2 linked regions of the Xenopus tropicalis genome follow. The protein of the gene in region 1 binds, or shares a complex with, the protein of each later gene. Links are inferred from orthologs where the notes say so. Each region holds a gene or a part of one and is shown on either strand. Other genes may lie near its edges.

Region 1 (3,753 bases):
AAAGAAAACTTTGCTATTGGTCTTTATTATTTATTTGTTATAGTTTTTAATTATTTGCCTTCTTCAGCTACATCTTTCCAACTCTCCCAAGGGGGTCAGTGACCCCACTAGCCAAAAAAACCTATTGCTCTGTGAGGCTACAATATTATTTTTATTGTTACTTTTTATTACTTTTCTTTCTATTTAGCTCCTCTTTTATCAATATTCCAGTCTCTCATTCACACCACTGCCTGGTTGCTAAGGTAAGCAAGACCATAGCAACCAGAAAGGTGTTGAAGTTCCAAACTGGAGAGCTACTTAACAAAAAGCAAAATAACTGAAAAAAATCAAAAATTGAAAAACTGTCTCAGAATATCAATGTCTACCTCATATTATAAGTTAATTTTAAAGGTGAAAAACCCCTTTAAAGTGGGCACACATGCTCATCATTATCCAGATACAGCCTGTGGGCTGAACAGACCAAGATCATATAAAAGGCTATACCTTACTATTGTCCTGTTCAGGGCAACCACCACAATTCCTTATCTGAAATATACCATGCACTGCCCAACATGGTACAATGGCAGATATATTATTGAAAACATGCCCTACTGACAACCCATGTAGAAAAAATAAATAAATAGCGGAGCACCACGAGGATGAAGTTAAAATCCAGTCTTTATTCCATCTTAGATAAAAGGCACATGCACATCCCTCAGGGTCTAACGCTTAACGCGTTTCGTGGCCTATCGATAGGCCACGAAACGCGTTAAGCGTTAGACCCTGAGGGATGTGCATGTGCCTTTTATCTAAGATGGAATAAAGACTGGATTTTAACTTCATCCTCGTGGTGCTCCGCTATTTATTTATTTTTTCTACACGCCTTGTTTTTCGGACCCTGGGGAGTGGGTCCGCGTGCTAGCACATTTGGACTGGCGGTAAGTGCTCCCGTGTAATATATAATTTTTTCTAACTACTGACAACCCAACCTGCTCTAATGACAACCCTGGTTCAGAGCACAGCAAGGATCAGTTTTTAACCTTTAAACACCTATCCAGTAATGGCACAAATCTAACATACTAATGCTTACAAGTGGGTACAGAAGCAATTCGGGACTGTGTGCCACCCTGAGGTGGCCTTTCAGATGCCACCCACTAACTTGGTTAGCAGTACATGAGGGCACAGAGTAGATGGCTAATGTGCAATGTCTGTAGACAAGACCCTACATGATAATCATGAGTCTGTAGAGAACCCAAAGATTTCCACTATGGCCCTGGCTACACTCATTAGTACACACTGACATCTTAGTATTTGCAGCTTCCTATACCACCTCTGTACCACAAACCCCTTACACCAAAGCTGTTAAAACATGTACTTTGCACAGTCTACAAACATTACCAACCTTTGGACTAACCTGCTGAACAACAGCTTTAAGATCAATACAAGATACAGACACAGCGGCCCGTGTTGGAAATATATGAAACATTTAGGAAATAATTTATTTAATAAAATGTCAAATTAAAATAAATCGCAGCAAAACATCACCAGTTTGTAACTGATGCACATATTCCACAATGATGGGGGGAATTAATTATAAACAATCTTTTAGCTAGGTCTTTCAATATAACTAAAGAAAATTGTGAACCCCTTTATAAATTGCATGAGTCTGGTGCCAAAGTGATACACTGCATTCATCAGGGAAAACTAAATCAGGGCAGGTCAGCAATTTTCAACTACTGTATTACAAACAAGTTTTCCAGTATGTTACTTGCCTAATAGTTATGTGGCGAAAAAAGTAAGGAGCGGAAGGAGAGCAACTGTCACGTTACGGGCAAATCTGAACCGCTACTGCTACCAGTTAAGGTCCAATGTTGGGCCATGTGTACACGGGAAGTTACGCTGTGGAATAACAGGTGCACTAATCGAACAACCAAGAAAATTAAGACCCCCTGACCCACGCCCTCCGTGGCGACCTATTATAAATCCAAACAATGTAAATATAACATAGTCAAACCGTAACGCGTCTCTTGAAATGAGGAATACCCGCGCCTTACCTGCACTGACTGATCAGCCTGATCAGAAGAAGCCATCTTCCCAGACCTCACCAATCAAACACCGGGAACACGGCCGCCGCATCAAGTTTCCATAGGCAGAACTAGTAGAGCGCCAATCTCTAAAAGTTCTATTTCTTCCTCAAGCGTGTGCTGGAGATGGAGTTTTGTTTCTAAGGAAGTTATACAGACATCCATGTCTTTTACAGCGCAAAAAATAAATGTCATTTATATTTATTCTCAGATTTCTCTTGCTGAATTCTTTTGATATGTTTCTGTAACCCCTTTTTGGCTAAAAAGCACTCTAAACTCCAGGCTATGGTTAGAGCATGGGGCTCATTGGGACTCTCTTTCAAAGGAGTGGGCCTTCGCTAAGTGGAAGGATAGATCCCAAGATATAGTTGTACTGCAACTCCCACTGGTACTGTGTAGTGTTAAAGTAATAGGACGCCAGGAGCTCTTGCAGATGAACTAGTTAACTCTTTATTGTCCAAGACAGATAATATTAGCACAGGGATCAATCCATACTCACAGTAATTGAGGTAGAATGGTACAGTTGTTAATAGCAGTTGTGAAGTACAGAACAGTGCAGCACCACAGTGGAGATAGATGTGAGCTACTAGCCAGAAGTCCCAAGGATGAATACCTTTTACTGGACCGGATCCCTATAGCCAACAGTGGTTCAGGGGTAAATACTAGCCTGATACCTGTGTCTGAACTGTGGTCCCTACAGCAAGGCAGACAGAGCCTTAGGTATGGTAAACCCACTAAATTCTCCTTGGTTGGAGCGGAAAGCTGCTCTTTCTAAATAGCCCTGACTGAGTCACACTCCTAGAGCGTGCTATGACAAAGTCTAATCCTGCAACTACCTTTACCTTGTTCACGGGGCCCTGTCCCCAACTTTACTTCAATGATAATGCTTACTGGGGCCTGTGTCTGCACCCAGGCTCAATGGAGGGTTTTACATAGGTAGCAGACCAGCAAGAAGAGGAAGCCGCACCTCCTTGCTAGACACTACATGAGGCTGCAAAGGGTGTGGACAACCATATGGGCCAATAAAGGATAGGCATAACCATAAACTGTTACAAAGGCTTCTGCCCAGTAACAAGGGATCAATGTGAAGAGATAGGGATATCACTCCATAGGGCATTTAACCCTATGGGTCCCTACATTTCTAAAACACATTTATTAAACACCCACTACAGTTAAATGAATTTATATAGTAGTGAAGATTCCACTGTAAATACTAATTACCCATATCAAAACATTTGAAGGCAATGAAATGACCATGGTGGGACCAGCTACAACATACCCCTAAGAACACACACTGGGTTATTTACTAAGTAGGAGTGCCAGCCAAGCTTTACACTTAAAATGCACTCAGAACCAGCTGTTTCTTAAATATTTTGTGTGATCTTTTTCTGCTTTTAGGAGCCTAGAAGATTTCTTTGTTTACCTGGGAACACTACTGCTTTTGTCAGGACAACTTTAGCTTTCTTAAATTTAAATTTTTTTGTAATTCCAAAAAAAAAGCTATACATTTACCTAAAAACTGAAAGCATTAAATAGTTTTCAAATATAGAAACATATTTCAGAAATATAATGCATTATATTCTTGAAAATGCAAGATTTGGAAAGCCTCTAGTCTCCCAAGTGCACAAATAACACATAAGTATAATTTTATTGAGATTTCTGACTTGTACGGGTCACAAAACTTCCACTA
Region 2 (3,653 bases), on another chromosome or scaffold:
GGGAAGTTATCTGCAGCAGCCAATCAAAATGATTGCTTTTTTTTTTTACTGGCAACTGGCTGCACTAAGCTAATAACAGATGCTAAATAAGTCCCTGTGCTTGCTTCAATATTGACCCAATGCTGATTGCAGGATTAATGGCTTCATGGCCCTAAAATTCAAAATTTTAACTAGCATATTCCTTCCAAAAGGTTAAAAGTGTAAAATCTTAAGGAAAATATGATTTTCTGCACTATGAATTAGCAGATAAATATAAGCGTCATTTTAATGAGACTCAGCATTACTGTAGTTATTAAGAGAAAGCATTCAATAACTGTACAATGGCCAAAGCTCCCTAACAATAAGGTTACAGATATATAGAGACATTGGGGTAACAGTCACCCTGCTATAGTTCCAGGGGTACCCAGGGCACAAATAAGCACTCACCCCAAATCCCCCCCTAACTGGCCTTCAGGCTGGGCCCCTTAGCCCATAACAAGGTTACAGATATATAGAAACATTGGGGTAACAGTCACCCTGCTATAGTTCCAGGGGTACCCAGGGTACAAATAAGCACTCACCCCAAATCTCCCCCTAACTGGTCTTCAGGCTGGGCCCCCTTAGCCCATAACAAGGTTACAGATATATAGAAACATTGGGGTAACAGTCACCCCGCTATAGTTCCAGGGGTACCCAGGGCACAAATAAGCACTCACCCCAAATCCCCCCCTAACTGGCCTTCAGGCTGGGCCCCCTTAGCCCATAACAAGGTTACAGATATATAGAAACATTGGGGTAACAGACACCCTGCTATAGTTCCAGGGGTACCCAGGGCACAAATAAGCACTCACCCCAAATCCACCCTAACTGGCCTTCAGGCTGGGCCCCCTTAGCCCATAACAAGGTTACAGATATATAGAAACATTGGGGTAACAGTCACCCCGCTATAGTTCCAGGGGTACCCAGGGCACAAATAAGCACTCACCCCAAATCCCCCCCTAACTGGCCTTCAGGCTGGGCCCCCTTAGCCCATAACAAGGTTACAGATATATAGAAACATTGGGGTAACAGACACCCTGCTATAGTTCCAGGGGTACCCAGGGCACAAATAAGCACTCACCCCAAATCCCCCCCTAACTGGCCTTCAGGCTGGGCCCCCTTAGCTCATAACAAGGTTACAGATATATAGAAACATTGGGGTAACAGTCACCCCGCTATAGTTCCAGGGGTACCCAGGGCACAAATAAGCACTCACCCCAAATCCCCCCCTAACTGGCCTTCAGGCTGGGCCCCCTTAGCTCATAACAAGGTTACAGATATATAGAAACATTGGGGTAACAGTCACCCCGCTATAGTTCCAGGGGTACCCAGGGCACAAATAAGCACTCACCCCAAATCCCCCCCTAACTGGCCTTCAGGCTGGGCCCCCTTAGCCCATAACAAGGTTACAGATATATAGAAACATTGGGGTAACAGTCACCCTGCTATAGTTCCAGGGGTACCCAGGGCACAAATAAGCACTCACCCCAAATCCCCCCCTAACTGGCCTTCAGGCTGGGCCCCCTTAGCCCATAACAAGGTTACAGATATATAGAAACATTGGGGTAACAGTCACCCCGCTATAGTTCCAGGGGTACCCAGGGCACAAATAAGCACTCACCCCAAATCCCCCCTAACTGGCCTTCAGGCTGGGCCCCCTTAGCTCATAACAAGGTTACAGATATAACCTTGTTTCTCACCAACCCATTGGATGTTGCTCCCAGGGGTCTCAAAACAGGTGCTTATGAATTTTTGAATTTCTGACTTAATGAGACATAATGACCAGGTGTACCAAACAGATCCTTCTGTAGGCTGCCAGTCCATATAGAGGCTACCATATAGCCAATCACAGCCCTTATTTGGCACCCCTGGAACTATTTGTATGCTTGTGTTGCTCCTCAAATCTTTTTACATTTGAATGTGGCTCACAAGCCAGGGTCTAGGTCCTCACCTTTTCTGTGATCTCTTTGAGGGACGGATACAAGACTTCCTTGGAGAGGAGATTCTGCATAATGTTCTGCATGAGAGGCAGGATGTTTCCATCCCCTTCACCATCGTCCATCCCCAAACCCTCCATTGTCTTGGCCAGCTCTTCCTCCGATAGGCTGGAGTTCTGTATAGGAGAAATGGAGATGTGTAAGTCACTCAGAATTGTTCCTTACTGCCTAACAAACTGGCACCCCCTAGTGGCTGAGGCTTTCTCTGTCTCCCTCGTTTGGTCTTGCACATTATAATCACATATTGAGGCACTTTACCTCTGCAGAGGCCACCGTTTCTTACCTGCAATTCGTCTGCATTCTTGGCTAGACCTGAGAGTGTCTCTTTCAGGCAGGAAGTAAATTCTTGCTGTGACGTCTCATCACTTCCTGTTGGCAAAAGGAGGCAGCCATGTTGTTTTGTATAAAGTAATTTCCTTGTTTAATCTACAATAAGATCTTAGCAAGTTTGTGAGGTGCACTATGATCCGCTCCAGGGAGCCGCCTATGGTGCTCAAGGTCCAAATCGCTAGGCTATTTTCACTATTAGGCTGGCTGTATCATATCTATTATCTAAGGGCATACAAAGTGCACCTTTTTTATTATTTTTAAGTTCTTCTTTTGGGGCTGGTTAAATGAAGGGGGGGTGGGGCTTTGAACCTTCTGAGATGTCTATTCCTTTCCCCATCTCCATTCTTACCAACTTTCCCTGCAGCCTCCGAGAGTTTCTGGAACTGTTCCACCAAGTGAGGCTCTTCCTCTGCCAGCTCCTTCATGGCCTTCTCAAACTCCTGTGTGGCCTGGGCTGCCAGCTCAGTGCTGAACAACTCTTGGAAGAACTGTTCTTGGGACGTGAAGAGGGCGTCCTGTTGGGAGCAGAGAAAGGATAACCAAATGGGGATCTGTTCCCTTGTCAAAAATTGTCTCCGACAACATGGGACAGAGCCGACTCACCTTGGCAGCATCTCCAGAAGGTTTCTCAGGCCCAGAAGCTGTTGTAGCTGTGTTTGAGGCTTGGGGAGGTTGGTTAGTCTTCTCAAAATCATCAAGGGCACCTTGGAAAAAAAACAAATATTTTGGACACACAGAACATTTTGATTTCAAACACTTTTTAAACCTTAACCTCATCATCAGAATGATTCTAATCTCTAAGAGATTGATAGTAGGGAGAGATGGTGCCTCTGGGGGGATAATAGCCTCTGGGAAGGGACTGGGGCTGTGGGATTGCAGGTATAGTAGGGAGAGATGGTGCCTATAGTAGCAGTGGGGGGATAATAGCCTCTGGGAAGGGACTGGGGCTGTGGGATTGCAGGTATAGTAGGGAGAGATGGTGCCTATAGTAGCAGTGGGGGGATAATAGCCTCTGGGAAGGGACTGGGGCTGTGGGATAGCAGGTATAGTAGGGAGAGATGGTGCCTATAGTAGCAGTGGGGGGATAATAGCCTCTGGGAAGGGACTGGGGCTGTGGGATAGCAGGTATAGTAGGGAGAGATGGTGCCTAATAGTAGCAGTGGGGGGATAATAGCCTCTGGGAAGGGACTGGGGCTGTGGGATAGCAGGTATAGTAGGGAGAGATGGTGGCCTATAGTAGCAGTGGGGGGATAATAGCCTCTTGGAAGGGAGTGGGGCTGTGGGATAGCAGGTATAGTAGGGAGAGAT

What was found.
Region 2: the proteins of pex14 (region 1) and pex19 are in contact, whole or in part, in an NMR structure (PDB 2W85), measured with the Homo sapiens proteins. The link is inferred for Xenopus tropicalis from reciprocal best matches to the Homo sapiens genes PEX14 and PEX19. Residues at the interface, in NP_004556.1 of Homo sapiens: Leu28, Thr31, Ala32, Lys34, Phe35, Asn38, Ser39, Arg40, Val41, Ser44, Thr48, Phe52, Lys56, Leu58; in NP_002848.1 of Homo sapiens: Gln67, Phe70, Phe71, Leu74, Phe75, Ser77.

Annotation. Positions count from the first base shown.
Region 1 is NC_030683.2:64,045,849-64,049,601, reverse strand, and holds the start of pex14 (peroxisomal membrane protein PEX14), read right to left. Parts: upstream 2,142-3,753; 5' UTR 2,070-2,141; coding exon 2,034-2,069; intron 1-2,033. UniProt on the Homo sapiens protein: Component of the PEX13-PEX14 docking complex, a translocon channel that specifically mediates the import of peroxisomal cargo proteins bound to PEX5 receptor.
Region 2 is NC_030684.2:138,225,610-138,229,262, forward strand, and holds part of pex19 (peroxisomal biogenesis factor 19), read right to left. Parts: intron 3,050-3,653; coding exon 2,949-3,049; intron 2,861-2,948; coding exon 2,695-2,860; intron 2,385-2,694; coding exon 2,299-2,384; intron 2,132-2,298; coding exon 1,970-2,131; intron 1-1,969. UniProt on the Homo sapiens protein: Necessary for early peroxisomal biogenesis. Acts both as a cytosolic chaperone and as an import receptor for peroxisomal membrane proteins (PMPs).